Elephas maximus indicus: one gene and its partner. The protein of the gene in region 1 purifies or fractionates together with the protein of each later gene. This does not show direct contact. Links are inferred from orthologs where the notes say so. Each region holds a gene or a part of one and is shown in the gene's direction. Other genes may lie near its edges.

Region 1 (7,553 bases):
TTGGTGAAATCTCTATTCAAGTCCTTTACCCATTTGATGATTGGATTGTCTTTTTGTTGTTACTGAAGTTTTATATATATTTTGATTCTCTGCCTTCTTGACCTTCTGATTCCATTGTTAATGGCTGCTCAAGTTTCAGAGTACAGTGCCAAAAATAAAAAGTTACCATTTATTGAGTGGAGCCCTGGTGGAACAGCAGTTAAGAGCTCGGCAGCTAACCAAAAGGTTGGCAGTTCGAATCCACCAGCTGCTCCCTGGAAACCTTATGGGGCAGTTGTACCTTCTCCTATAGGATTGCCATGAGTCGGAATCGACTCAATGGTAATGGGTTTGGTTTTAGGTTATTTTTTGAGTACTTACTATGTGCTCAGCACTGTACTGAGGGCTTTACCTACACTTTCTCATTTAACCTAAATTATAATAGCTAACATTTGTTCAATGTTTGCTGTGGATCAGGGGCACTTAAGAGTTCTTTATATTTTATTCCTTATGATAACCCTAGGAGGTATTACCTACCTGGTTTTACAGACAAGGAAACCAAGGTTCAAAGAGATTAGTTACCGTGCCCAAAGTCACATAGCTGCAAATTGGGAGAAGCTGGATTCAACTCCAGGCACTCTGGCTCCAGAACCTGTACTCTTTCTTTTTTTTTTTTTAATTTTTATTGTACTTTAAGTGAAGATTTACAAATCAAGTCAGTCTCTCATACAAAAACTTATATACACCTTGCTACATACTCCCAATTGCTCTCCCCATAACGAGACCGCCTGCTCCCTCCCTCCACTCTCTCTTTTCGTGTCCATTTCACCAGCTTCTAACCCCCTCCACCCTCTCATCTCCCCTCCAGGCAGGAGATGCCAACATAGTCTTAAGTGTCCACCTGATCCAAGAAGCTCACTCCTCACCAGCATCCCTTTCCAACCCGTTGTCCAGTCCAATCCCTGTCTGAAGAGATGGCTTTGGGAATGGTTCCTGTCCTGGGCCAACAGAAGGTCTGGGGGCCATGACCACCAGGGTCCTTCTAGTCTCAGACCATTAAGTCTAGTCTTCTTATGAGAATTTGGGGTCTGCATCCCACTGCTCTCCTGCTCCCTCAGGGGTTCTCTGTTGTGCTCCCTGTCAGGGCAGTCATCGGTTGTGGCCGGGCACCATCTAGTTCTTCTGGTCTCAGGCTGATGTAGTCTCTGGTTTCTCTGGTTTATGTGGTCCTTTCTGTCTCTTGGGCTCGTAATTACCTTGTGTCCTTGGTGTTCTTCATTCTCCTTTGATCCAGGTTGGTTGAGACCCACTGATGCATCTTAGATGGCCGCTTGCTAGTGTTTAAGACCCCAGACGCCACTTTCCAAAGTGGGATGCAGAATGTTTTCTTAATGGATTTTATGATGCCAATTGACTTAGATGTCCCCTGAAACCATGGTCCCCAAACCCCTGGCCCTGCTACACTGGCCTTTGAAGCATTCAGTTTATTCAGGAAACTGCTTTGCTTTTGGTTTAGTCCAGTTATGCTGACCTCTCCGTATTGTGTGTTGTCTTTCCCTTCACCTAAAGTAGTTCTTATCTACTACCTAATTAGTGAATACCCCTCTCCCACCCTCGCTCCCTCCCCGCTCTCGTAACCATCAAAGAATATTTTCTTCTCTGTTTAAACTATTTCTCGAGTTCTTATAATAGTGGTCTTATATAATATTTGTCCTTTTGCAACTGACTAATTTCACTCAGCATAATGCCTTCCAGATTCCTCTATGTTATGAAATGTTTCACGGATTCATCACTGTTCTTTATCAATGCGTAGTATTCCATTGTGTGAATATACCATAATTTATTTATTCATTCATCTGTTGATGTGCTCCTTGGTTGCTTCCATCTTTTTGCTATTGTAAACAGTGCTGCAATAAACATGGGTGTGCATATATCTGTTCATGTAAAGGCTCTTACTTCTCTAGGATATATTCCAAGGAGTGGGATTGCTGGATTGTATGGCAGTTCTATTTCTAGCTTTTTAAGGAAGCGCCAAATTGATTTCCAAAGTGGTTGTACCATTTTACATTCCCACCAGCGGTGTATAAGTGTTGCAGTCTCTCCACAGCCTCTCCAGAACCTATACTCTTAATTGCTCTGCTGTCTCATCCTGTGAGGCAAGCGGTATTATTATCCCTGGTTTGTAAATGAGGAAATAGAAAAACCAAACTAATGCCATATAACTTGCACAAGATCGCAGTACCAGTAAATAATTCAGTCAGGATTCAAACCTGGTCTCAATGTTAGCTATAATGCCGTGGGTCCCTTACTGTTAGCCATGTCATATGTAAATAGGAGACTCTGCCTATGGCCTTCCTAGGGCACAGTCCCTCTGTTTCTGTCTCAAAAGATGCATGTTTGGGAGAGAACCAGCAGGGTAAGACAAACAACACTGAGTATTCTTTAAGCTCAAGATCTTATTTGTATTATGAGAGAGGTGTGTACAAGTACTAGGAGAACTATTAATGTGGACAGCCTTTGTCACCTTTCTGGGTCTCAATAGCCTCATCTTTAAAGATGGTGAAGAATGGTAGTCTGGAAACAGGGAAAGAGCATGGACTCTGAAGTCAAATAAACCTGGGGTTGAATTCTAGCTCCATTCTTTTAATTATGTGGCCTGTGAAGGCTTAAATAACCTTTCTGGGCCACGATCAGAGCCCTGGTGGTTAAGGGATGGGCTGCTAACCAAAAGGTCAGCAGTTCGAATTCACGAGCTGCTCCCTGGAAACCTTATGGGGCAGCTCTACTCTGTCCTATAGGGTCACTATGTCAGAATTGACGCGTCGGCAGTGGGCTTGGCTTGGATTGGGCCACAATCTCCTTATCAGTAAAATGGAAATAATACCCATCTCATACAGCTATGAGAGCTAAGTAAACTAAGTAACATAAGTTAGGGCAGCACAGAGTTCGGCACTTAAAAGATTCTCAACAGTAGCTGCAGCTCTTAGATTTCCAGGCTACCCCTGTGGGTATAATTTAGTTGGGGTTCCATTCTGTGAGTGGAGAGCCCTCTAGGGTTCACTGGGTGAATCACATCTCGTAGATCTTGGGCTTCTTTTTTTCTTTCACTTATTTCTGGGGTAGAAACGGAGAGAAGGTCAAAGCCTTAAGAGTTCCAAGAGCAGAAATGTGCAATGATCCCAGGGTTACTTTGGGCCATTGTGTGTGATGCTCAGGGTTTTAGGATTTCATTATTTGCGTCTATCCTGAGGCTTTGCTTGGAGAGAACTGAAATCATATTCAGAGAGAAAAGCCAGACTACAGCCCAGCGGGATAGAGACAACAAAGCTGATGATGGGAAAATTGGAAGAAGGCACTAAATACCTCCTGGTATCTAAACATCCTAGAAGTTGCAAGAGTTTTGTTTGTTTTGTTTTTTTTAGAGGAAGCATTATGAACCCATAAGCCCAAAGAAAAACAAAATGAGCACATAATATGGGGTTAAGGAATTCAGTGGAGGAGTGAAGAGGGGGTAATAGGAGGAAGAAAGAAGTGTAAATCCCAAGAAGGCCCAGATCCAGATCCAAAAAGGCAAGGAAATGAGAAAGCGAGGGTCCTACCTGGAATGTGGAGAAAGAATGTTGAGAAAACGGGTACCACAGCCCAGGGATACTTCCCTCCTAGGAGGACTCTGAAATGTGTGGGTTCTTTTTGAGTTGTCACAATAGCTGAGGTTACCGGCATTTACCCCCGAGGGACCAGGGTTGCCTAAAAAGTCCTCCAAAGGGTGGGATAGTCTCGCACAAAGAACTGTCCCGCTCTTGTGAAATACTAGGCTACCCCTGTAACCTAACCCTTAGTTCGTCCATCTTTAAGACGGGGCTAATAATCTCGAACCTCACGTTTTTGCAAAAACGGCTCTCCACAAACGGTTGTAAGTACTTGCTGTTGATATCTAATGAAACTCTTAAATTCTTCCCCTGTAAGCCACAGGCCATGAGAGTCGTTATGACTGCAGTTTCTAATAATTTAAAAAAAAAAAAACAAAAACTTGCAGTGGCGTGGATTCCGACTCACAAGGACCCTGCAGGACAGAGCAGAGCTGTCTCACAGAGTTTCCAAGGAGCCCCTGGTGGATTTGAACATACCAACCTTTTGGTTAGCAGCTGTAGTTCTTAACCACTACACCACCAGGATTTCCAATTTCTAACGAGACCATCATATTCCAGGAAGATTACGCAGCTGAGAACCTCTTGCGGGAACTCAGCCGTCGGAAAACTAACCCCCCGCCCCCGCCCCCGCCCCCGCCCCGTCCGGGTCCCGCCCCTAGCCTACTCAAAAGTTTTGGCGAACCACATTGTCCAGCAGACCCCGCGGCCCGCGGCCTGGCGCAAGCGCTCGCGCCGTGCACTCTGGGACTGGTAGTTCTCATTCTCCCGTTGTCGGCCCTCGCTGCCCGGTGTCTGAAACTCGCCTTCCCAGTTTGCCGCGCGGCCGGGGGCGTACCTCCGCGACCAGGAAACGGGAAAGATGGCGACTGCTTCGCGACGTTGAGGCCGCGTTGGGCGGTTCAGAGTCAGGGTGGTGAGTCCCGGGCGATGGAGGCGGTTCCCAGGAACTTGCAGAAAGGGCGGGAATGGGAGTATGGTGGTGGCACATGCCAAGGGGGTAAAGAATGCCTCAGGGAAGGGACACGAGCCCGAGAAGGTCCTGTGGGCTGGGGCGAAGGGGCGCGGGGCCCCAGGGGCGGTGTTGGCTCCTGGGGGGCATAGGCCAGTCGACGATATTACGGGCCCAGACCTCCGTCCAAGGACACAGCACCTGTGATATGCCCAATCCGACCTTATTCCTTCATATTTCGAGTAGCCCTTGTTCCAGCCAAACGAACTCCAGCTTTTCTCCCAGAACCAATCTATGCTTTCCTGCCTGTGCACCTCCTGTATTATTTCTTTTGCTGGGAATGACATTCTTTCCGTACCCTCAGTTATACATCTTCAAATTCTACCTATAATTAAGACTCAAGAGCCACTACCTCTACAGAGCCTTCCACATCCCCTCTCACAAATGAAAGGAAACTCCTTGTTTGAACTCTCCTTCATCTGAGCCATCATCTTGGCATCTGTCCACTATATGTGTCTTCTCACTTCTGTTGTACTATGAGCTACTTGTGGACAGGGTCTTCCTCATTTCCATTAGCAACTCACACAGTGCCTAGGGTGCCTTGCATATAGGGAATGCTTGATAAAATACTTCATTGAGCGGGTATAACTCTCTAGATTGTAGATACTTGTTATTTTTGGTGATGGGAAGAGTAGCTCTGAATGTGGGTGTAATGAGCACAGCTTGACCAAAGAAAATGATGCCAGTAAGAACCACACAAGAGAAAAGGATATTTATACTAAACAATGTGACATATGTAACTTGGCAACACCAACAATAACCAAAAAGTGAGTGTATGATCACATATGTAGGTGTATAGGTACATTTGTATATAGGTAGGTGCAGATGTATACATATATGTGCACAAATAGAAGTATCTATGTGTATGTGTATATAGAGATAGGTGTGTGCACACATATTCATAGAAGATACTGTTACAGGTACTTCTCAGATGTAACCAAATACTTTGAATGCTTAGGATCTTAGCCTCATGGGACAACTCAGTCAGTTGGCATAATATAGTTCACAAAGTTCATATTCTGCATCCTACTGAGGTGAGTAGCATCTGGGGTCTTAAAAGCTTGCCAGCAGCGGTCTAAGATCCAACTACTGGTCTCTGCTCATCCAGAGCAAAGGTCTCAGAGAAGAAACTAATCTATAGGGTTAGTAGCCTGCAGGAGCCATAGCCTCATCTGCCCTGAGCCTGGAAGAACTATATGGTGCCTGGCCACCATTACCAACCATTCTTATCAGGGCCACAGTAGATGAACCCTGATAGAACAGGACTCAAATTTTTAAGAAGTCCAGTCCTACTGGACCAGTTGAGGCTAGAGGAGTCCCTGAGACTATTACCATGAGATCCTTTATAAACCTTGAATGAAACTATCCTCTGAGGTCACCTTTTAGTGAAATAACAGATTGGCACACAAAATAAAGGACATTATTTGTGAGTATGGTGCTCTATTAAAAAACCGTGTGTATGAAATTAGAAGATCAACAATTAAAGCAAAGATGAGAAGATAAGGGAACAGGGAAACTAGAATACTGGAAATGGAACAACCAGGTGCAATTAAAGAGGATGTTGACACATTGTGAAAAAGGTAACTACTGTCGCTGAGGAATTTGTATAGAGATGATCAAATGGGAACCTAATCTGCTATGTAAACTTTCTCCAAAAACTTAATATAATATTATTAAAAAAAAAAAAACTTCATTGAAAGCAAAAAAGAATCTGCCTCTGTCCTACATGAACTGAGGAATGCCAAGATTTAGAGGTTTGATAGGAGGTTACTTGGAAGCAGTTGGTCAGAGTCAGCCTGATTATCTGACCCTTGTGATAAATCCCACTGCCATTGAGTTGATTCCGATACATAGCTACCCTATAGGACAGAGTAGAACTGCTCCATAGGGTTTCCAGGGCTGTAAATCTTTACGGAAGCTGACTGCCACATCTTTCTCCCTTGGAATGGCTAGTGGGTTTGACTTGCTGACCTTTTGGTTAGCAGCCAAGCTCTTAGTAACCACTGTGCCACCAGGATTCCTATGTGATAAGTAGAACCTACAATAAAAGTTGCCTGTATTCACTGTTTTCGTATTCTCACTTCTCATTCTCTCCTCAGCTCAAACCACTCAGGCTTCTCTTCCCTCCATACCAATGAAAAACAGCTCTTGTCAAGGTCACTAACAATCTCATTTTTCCAAATGCAATGGCCACTTCTCTATCTCCTGTTTTTTTTCTCTACCTCAGTAGTAGTTGACACAGTTGACCGTTCCCTCCTTGAAATACTTTTTTGACTTCTGTGATGCCATGCGTTGCTTTTTGTTGTCCTTTCTTACTGGCTACTGCTTCTTTCCAGTCTTTTTCTCTGGCTCCTCCTCTGCCTGATCTGTAAATGTGGGAGTGTTCCAGAGTTCAGTCCTGAGTCCTTTTCTATTTTCTTTATATTGCCTAAACCAGAAAAAAAAAACCAAACCCGTTGCCATCGAGTAGATTCCGACTCGTAGCGACCCTATGAGATGGAATAAAACTGCTCCAAAGGGTTTCCAAGGAGTAGCTGGTGGATTTGAACCACTGACATTTTGGTTAGCATCCAAGCTCTTAACCACTGCGCCATCAGGGCTCCATTTATATTGTCTGCTTAGGTAGTAATTATCATTTAGTGCCCCGTGGCTTTAAAAATCATCTATGTTTTGGAGACTCAGATTTTTGTCTCCAGTCCTGAACTCTCCCCTGAGTTCCAGATTTGCTTATCCATCTACCTTTCTGGAATCTCCACTTGGTTGTCTTATTAACATCGTATTCTCAACATAGTCACAGTGATACTTCTGATTTCCTCCTAAATCTGTGCCTCCCCTAGTCTCCTCTAGTTCACTAATGGCACCAACCATTAGGATGCTCAAACCATAAATTCAAGAGTTGTCTTTGGGTCCCCTCT
Region 2 (7,845 bases), on another chromosome or scaffold:
GAGCTCCGGCCCCGGGGAGGGCTGCACGCCTTTCCTCCAGGGCCCTGCCCGTGGTTCCCTGGGCCTCGGTGCTCATCTGTCAGGTGGACCCTTATCAGTAGGGAGACCCCGCCCCACCCCCAGTCTCTGGGCAGCCCATAGCTCTGCACTGGCTCCCGGGCCTGGCTGGCACAGGGCATTAAGGGCGGACAGAGAAGGCCTGGACAGCAGGTCCTGGGAGGGTCTTTAGCATGCCTCCCCCCTCCCCCCGCCCAGACTCCCAGCCCTCCTTCAGGCTATGCACCTCACCTGCCTTCTGGACCCGACTCCCAGCCTGCTACGACCTCCCCCACCTGTTGGTGTGACCTCTCAGGGCCTGGACCCCACATGAATCAGCTGTAGAGGCTGGACCCCCCAGTTGGGGGTACTCAGAGCCCCTCTGGCCCAGGATCCTGCCCAGTGCCGGAGGGCCCTGCAGGGGGTGGGGAGCAGATGGGATCCCTGACAAGGGCTCTTTGTTCTCTGCTGGGAGGTGGGGCTGGCTGGCAGGGTGAGCTTGCCCCCGCCACCTTCCCCAGGGGGCAGGGCCAGACTGAATCTCAGTGTCGTCCTCGGGCTTCCGACTGGAGCCTGGGGGCTCTGGGGGGCTGTCAGTAGGATCTGCCAGTGGAGCCTCAGGAGGGGCCTTGAGTGGCCCCTTGACCAACCTGAGTCTCCCAGAGACCCTGAGGAGGGGGCCTCTAGTCCCCTGGTAGGACCCAAGAAAGCCAAGACCCCCTGGTGTGCATGGTTTCTGGCTGCCCCGGGTCACCCTGGTGAACCTCCCCTAGTGATGTGGTGGCGGGGGCCAGGGGTCTTCGCGTCACCTCACATGTGGAGCTGGTGCAGGGCCAAGGACAGGAGAGCCTGACGGAGGGGCTGAGTCTTCTCCCCTCTGCAGAGTGCCAACAGGAAATGGCCGGCCAGATTGGGGGAAGACTGAGGTGGCCCAGGGTCGGCCTTTTCTGGGCCTGGTGGTGGACAATAGACCCCGTCCCACCGAGGGTGACGTGAGCTGCTGCCAGTGTTGCTGTGACCACTGCAGACAATCCGAGCCTGTTGGGCTGATCTCGGGGGGCGGTCACTGGGGAGATGCAGTCAGCACCTCCCGGGGCAGTGAGCTGGCGTGGGGGTCAGTGGGTGGGCACTGAGGTAGGCAGGTCTTCACGTACATACTGTGGACAGGAACAAGTTCAGTCTGTCCCGTGGTGGCCTGTGTGGTCCTCAACAGGTGGCCCTGCCCCTCTCATAGAAAACAGGCAGGAGAGGACGCCCACATGCCTGGGCAGAACCAGCACCAGGTCCTCACTGCTCTGCCCATCCGCTTCCTCCCCCTTCCTGCAGGGGCCGGGGGCTGTGGGACCCCGGCATTGGAGAGTGCTGTGCACAGAAGGTCTGGGGGGGCCTGGGAGGGCATGAGGGCAGAGCAGCGAGGTGCTGTGATATAACCACCCCCCGACCCCCAGGCATCTACATCCTCATCGCTGTGGGCGCTGTGATGATGTTTGTGGGTTTCCTGGGCTGCTATGGGGCCATCCAGGAGTCACAGTGCCTGCTGGGAACGGTAAGGTGGGGTCCCTGCTGGTCCTGGGCTGGAGGGGGAGGCACCCGGGAGGAGGTGGCCCTGGTAGAGCTCAGGCACGTCCGCCCCCTCCCTCCCCTCCCCTCACCTGGTGGAGGGGCTGGCCGGCTCTGAACTTTCCAGTTGGCTCTTAGATAAACCATTATCTCTTTATCCTGATTCTAAGCCCCAAAGTGGCTCTCTCTTCCTTTGTTTAAGAAAAGCCACAAACACAACAGGGAGAGAGTCCCCGCCCTGCTCCCCTCTGGCCTGGTGGCCCCTTTCCCCTTGGCCGGGTAGGGGGTGAGGCTGGCAGTGTGCTGGGGAGCCTGTACCAGTGTCTCCGCTAGGGGAGACTGAGGCATGACGTGGCAGCCCCTCTGTGTTGGGGCTCACTAGGCACGCTTGCTCTCGTGCCCACCAGGTGGTGCGGTGGAGGGGCCTGGGGAGCACACCGCCCCCACCCACCATCAGAGCTCTGGAATCGGGGGTTGGGAGGATGCGGCTCTGGCATCTTGTTCCTGGGCTGAGTCCTAGGTTTTGCTCATGACTAGGCCTCATGGCTCACGCCGCCTGGGACACGGTGATTTGGTGATTACCCCCGCCTCCCATCCTGCTGGTCACTTGGGTGGCTGCATCTCGAAAAGGCAAACCCCATGCTGCCTGGTGGCCTGGGGCCCCAGGAAGAGCCCCCAGACTAACTTACTGCTTCCTCTGCCCACTCCCTCCTCCCATCCCGCCCTCATGCGGCCCCCCAGTTCTTCACCTGCCTGGTGATCCTGTTTGCCTGTGAAGTGGCTGCCGGCATCTGGGGCTTTGTCAACAAGGACCAGGTGAGCCAGGCCCACCAGGTGAGGTCCTCATCCCAACCTGGGGATGCTGGGGGGAGGAATGGCCCCTGTTCAGAGTGTGGGGGATGGTCCAGCCTCACCCACAGATGGCGGGTGTACCTTGGGGCTCCCCCCCGTTATGTTAGTAAGGTCCAGGAGGGCTTCCTGGAAGCAGCGACACTGGGCCTGAGCTGGGGCCAGCTAAGATAGGACCCCCCCCCCCGCCATGTATCTTGGGGACCCCGCCTTCCTAAGGTGTGTCAGGTGAGCACACTTGTCCACCTGAGGAGGTAGGCTCTGCTCTGGTGACCCCCTAGCCTGCTTGTCCTCCCTGCAGATCGCCAAGGACGTGAAGCAGTTTTACGACCAGGCCCTGCAGCAGGCCGTGCTGGACGATGAAGCCAGCAATGCCAAGGCCGTGGTGAAGACCTTCCATGAGACGGTGCGGCTGCTGGGGGTCTGAGGGGGTGGGTATGGGACCCATGGGGCTTGCAGGGCTGGGCTGTATGGGTGCACATGGGCCCCAGGAGCTCTAATCTTCCAGGGGTAGGGGCAGGGGCAGCCTGGGCGTTTTCCTCTGTGGGCCTTGGGGAGGCTGCTCCTCTCTGTCCTCTAGGTCCCTGGGTGGGAGTGGGTAAGCCAGGTCTCTGAGCAGCACACTGCAGGTGGCCATCTCGGGGCTCAGTTACCTTAGGAGGAGCAGAACAAGCCTGTGGGGTGGCCGCAGCCCGGCAGGATGCACTGTGGGGTGGGAGTGGGGACACTCTTCTGTGGCCATCCGGGCCCCTGGCCAGTGCTCCTCAAGCCCCCTGCCAGCCTGACTAAAGCTGCCCTGTTCTCTGCAGCTGAACTGCTGTGGTTCCAATACACTGACCACACTGGCCACTTCGCTGACCAAGAACAGCCTGTGTCCCTCAGGCAGCACCTTCCTCAGCAACGTCTTCAAGGTGTGCAGTGGTGGCCGGGGCTTGGGGCTTGCCATGGGGTGGAGCTGGGCAATGGTGGGCACGCATAGGGCAGGTTGTGCCCATCCTGGGGCCATGGCCAGCAGGGAGAGGACCACTCTGCCGGGGCCGGGCTTGCTGGGGTCACAGAACTGACCGAAGAGGGGCACCATCGCTTGCAGTCCAGGTGAGGTTGTCTGAGGCCCAGGGTGTCGAGTGGCCTGGTGGGATTGGTGTTTGGCTGCCCATGCTTGTGGTTGAGGCCGGAGGTGGCCCTTGGGGGCCTCAGCAACCTGTGGTAGCACTCAGCTATGCGGAAGTGATTTGAACCAAGTGTCCTTGGCCTGGGGATCTACTTTTGAAAAACCAGCCACTGAAAACCCTGTGGAGCACAGTTCCAATCTGACACACAGGTCGTCACCGTGCATCGGAGTGGATGCCACAGTAACCAGTTAAGAGCTAACCTGTGCTGAGAGTGCCGGCTGGCCAGGGTGGGCTGGGAGAGCCATGGTACCAGGTCCTCTGTGCGTTTTCTGTGTTGCCTGACTGTCACGCGAAACTTGAGGGGGACCCTGAGCCCGCCTGCTGTCTGTCCTTGCAGGAGGACTGCCACCAGAAGATCGACGACCTCTTTTCTGGGAAGCTGTACCTGATTGGTATCGCAGCCATCGTGGTCGCCGTGATCATGGTGAGCTGGGGCCTCGGGGGGTGGTGCCCAGCACCTGTGCCATGCCTCACGTCCCCTCTCCCCCGCAGATCTTCGAGATGATCCTAAGCATGGTCCTGTGCTGTGGAATCCGCAACAGCCCTGTATACTGAGGCTGGAAGCGGCCGGCCATGTGCACAGCGTCCCCGGAGGCGGCCAGCCGTGTGCACAGCGTCCCCGGTATTACTCTGTGCCGTGTACATAGCGTCCCCGGTATTGCTCTGTGCACTCAGCCTTTTCGTTTCCCAGGTCTCCTTTTTGTTCTCAAGCCCTTGCCACCTTTCCAGGGCTGGTGGCCCTCGTGGGTGACGTGGGAGTGGACCGGCGGCCTGGGGTTGCAGGGCAGGGCCCGTGAGGCTCCTCTGCTCTGAGGACCAGGGAGGGAGCCTGCCTGGCCCTGGGGCCTGACCCTGCAAGCTGAGGGGCCGCAGCCCTGCCCCACCCGTCAGCCCGCACCTTTTGTAGCCCTGACTCCCCCTCCTCTGACTGTTTCTAGAGCAGCGTTTGAGCTCTTAGCTCCACGGCAGCGCTCCTTTCTAACATGTCACCCCCAGCTGTAATTACGTCATCTCCAGTCACAACAGTCACTCAGTAAAGAAGGAAAAACCAGGCATGCTAGCACGGCTCAGACTCCCTTCCTGGGCCACACGGGGGTGGGCAGTGGGCCCGGGAGCACGCCACAGGGATGTGCCCCCTCGGTAGGCCGTAGCGCCCCTCCTTCCTTGCACCGAGCCTGGGCAGAGTGCCCCGAGTGGGGGCAGCGGGGAGATGTGGCGGAGGATGTGTGCCCCACTCCTGCGGGGCACCCTCCTCACCATTTCTGACGCCGCCCAGGCCTTGGGTTTCCGCCCATCCTGTGAGTGCCTCAGCTGTGGCCATGCCAGGCCCACTGTCTGGCTGGGCTATGAAGGGTTTGGTGGACACCAGGACTGCTGGTTCTTCCCCTTCCTTCCTTCCTTCCTTCCCGCCCATTTGGGTGCTTGTGAACCTTTGTTGGAGGAGCCAGTGGCTAGGGCAGGTCTGGTTTGGGAAGGGCTCAGCAGCCAATGGGGGAACCCAGTGAAGTGGCCCACCAGGGTGCGCTGGGACCCACCTGGATCTCTACCCTTAGTCCAAGCTCTTCTAGTCGGTGAGCATTATGCAGACCCACCTGGCTAGCCACCGCCCATCCCGGCACGGAGAGCTTTGGGATGGGACTTCTCCTCGGACAGGCTGCTTTGTCAGGGATGCTGGGCAACATCACCTGGAGTTAGGGTGGCACCCACCTGCGCACACGCTAAACTAACCCCTTGTGACAGCCCAGCAGTCTCCTTGGACTGGCTCTGGAACTCAACCCCAGCCCTGCACGGGGAGGTTAAAGGGTCTCAGAGGGCCTGCACCTTGCACACCTGGGCTGTAGGGTTCAGGTACAGGAAGGTCCATGGAGTCCATCCTCTCTGCTTCTGCTGTGCTGTGGGGCCCACAGGTACATCCGCCCAAGGCTGCAGCGCAGGGGCCTGGAGCCTGCCTTCTGCATGGCAGTGACCCACAGTGGGTTCCTGGTGAGGCTGGGGGTGGGGGGAGGTGGAGTGTTACGAGGTGACCCGAGGTTTACTGGAGACCAGGGGCTGAGGTAGGGGCCCAGCTTCCCCTCTTTGTGCTTCTGGGCTGGGCAGCTCCTTGAACCCTTGGTTTCCCAGCAGAGGCACCTCAAGAATGTGGGACAGGTGCCCCCATAGAGAAGGGGCAAAAGCACCGCCCACCTACAAGCCTGGGGGCCGAGAGAGAAGTGGCTGAGCTAGAGAACCTGGGACCTCGTCCTCCCTTACCAGGCAGGGAGGCGTGACCTGCCTTAGGCCAGTGAGAAGGACTAGGCTGTCAGCTCCCAAGCCTGCTGCTGCCCTCTGGTGCCTGCTCTTGGAGCACATACTTTCCCCGGGGCCCACCAGTCCTGGCTGACTTGGAAGTGGAGGGAGCGAAGCACTCGGTTCCCCTCCTCTCCTTGCCCAGCCCTCCCAGGCCTCATGGGCTCCGGCTCCCAGTGGGTCAGTGGCACCCAGGGCCCCCGGATGGGCGCTGACCCTGGAAGGATGTAGTCAGGGCAGAGGCAGCCTTGGCTTCCCCACCCAGGGGTGCTCCCTCCAAGCCTCCTCCTAAGCCACACCTCTCCACGACCACAGCAGTGGCCTCGGGAGACGGGGGGGCCACCATTAGTGCCTCCCCATCTCAGGTACGGCGCACACAATGGTTAGGGCACACGGGGAGGGAACAGCTGTGTCCTTGTCCCTGGGGAAACACCCTAGAGGTAAATCACAGCCCTGTCCCTGGGCAGGGCCCAGGAAGGTCCCCAGGGAGCAGGTACGAAGTGTTGCCATGGGGACTAGGGGAGAGGCTGGCGCGCCTGCAGCCCCCACGTGCGCGGAGCCCCGTTTCCAAGATGCCCCCTCAGCCCTCATAGGTCGAGACCCTGGTCTTGACCTGGGGCTGCGTGACTGCGGGGGCCCGCCTGGAGAATCTGGGGACTCCGGTGGGGCGGGGTGGGGCCGGCCGCTGGGACGCTGCAGGGGCGCCTTGGTCGGCACTGACCGACAGATGGAAGGAAAGGCAACGCATTGCTTCCGGCCAGGGCCGGAAGTGCCCGGGGAGTGGCTATGTGTCCTTGGAGCGCCAGAACCCGCTTCCGGCCTGAGGCCGCCGCAGTCCTCGGGGGTGCCGGCAGGTGGCGCTGGGCCCCGGGAACCCAGCACTGGCCGCTGGCTTTCAAGCATTCTGGGAGCTGCATCCGGGGGCCTCCCTCCCTTTTCTCCTTAGCCATTTCCGGTTTTTTTTTTTTTTTCAAATAAGCCCTGGGGCCTCCGGGCTATCATAAGCCAGCCCCTAGTGCAGGGGAGTGGCGATCTGGCTGAGACACATGCCCGCACAGGCCTACATGTCCCGGCAGGCCTCGGGAGCAGGGACCCAGTGCCTCGTGGGAGTTGTAGTTCTCTGCATGCAGAGGCGGCGGCCCCTGGCCGGCGGAGGACTCGGTTTCCCAGAGGGCCGAGCGCGGCGTCCCGGCAGGCGGCGCGACCAAGATGGAGGCATCCGGGCAACGGTGAGCTGGTAGGTTTGGGGTCGGGGAGGCCTTCGGGTGGCCGCTAGCCGCAGCCTGCATCCCGGTACCCAGCCCGACGTCTCGGTTTCCCCCGTCTTTTCGTGGCCTGGCCCTCGGGACCCCGAGCCTTCTGAGGCCTGGACCCGGGGCCCATCCCCCCGGCCCTGGCACGCGAGGATCTTTGATTGGTTCCCCGCCGCCGAGAGCTTATTGAGTGTCAGGCACAGGGCGAGGCGCTGGGCGCGTAGAGCGGTGTAAGGCCAGGCTCTGCCTTCAAGGCGGAGACAGACAAGCAGGAAGGAACCGATGCTCCCGGTCCCTGGGACCTGGTCTGCGCTGATCCGGGCCTGGGACACCCCCGCGCCTCAGCTCCGCCGGGACCCAGCTCTGCCCTCCGCTGAGCCCCTGAAGGAACCCGAGGCCTTGAGTCCAAGAAGCGACTCCCGGGCCTCCTAGTTCCCTATCGTGGGGCCCGGTCACTGTGTCCCCCACGCACCCGCTGCGTGCCCCACGGAACAGGCTGCTTAGTGACTTAAGGTGGTGCAGGGTAGAGTGCGAATTCGGAAAGCAACAGGTTCGTTGGAATTCTAGCTTCGACTTGGGCAAATTATATCCGCTCTGGCCCTGCTAGCTCTAAAACCCTCTCTCTCCTGAAGTCGTCCCTTCCCAGAGGAGCCCCGCCGCACAGAAATCGCGTCTCGCTTGCGTCTGAC

What was found.
Region 2: the proteins of DDX23 (region 1) and TSSC4 purify together in Homo sapiens (affinity purification with mass spectrometry; 3 studies listed by BioGRID and IntAct, with this or other methods). This does not show direct contact. The link is inferred for Elephas maximus indicus from reciprocal best matches to the Homo sapiens genes DDX23 and TSSC4.

Annotation. Positions count from the first base shown.
Region 1 is NC_064822.1:104,287,559-104,295,111, reverse strand, and holds the start of DDX23 (probable ATP-dependent RNA helicase DDX23), read left to right. Parts: upstream 1-4,451; 5' UTR 4,452-4,542; intron 4,543-7,553. UniProt on the Homo sapiens protein: Involved in pre-mRNA splicing and its phosphorylated form (by SRPK2) is required for spliceosomal B complex formation.
Region 2 is NC_064825.1:135,486,170-135,494,014, reverse strand, and holds the start of TSSC4 (protein TSSC4), read left to right. Parts: upstream 1-4,781; 5' UTR 4,782-7,132; exon of another isoform or gene 7,133-7,140; intron 7,141-7,712; exon of another isoform or gene 7,713-7,845. Other genes in the region: CD81 antigen, read left to right, coding at 1,485-1,582, 2,338-2,412, 2,747-2,851, 3,255-3,356, 3,955-4,041, 4,110-4,172. UniProt on the Homo sapiens protein: Protein associated with the U5 snRNP, during its maturation and its post-splicing recycling and which is required for spliceosomal tri-snRNP complex assembly in the nucleus.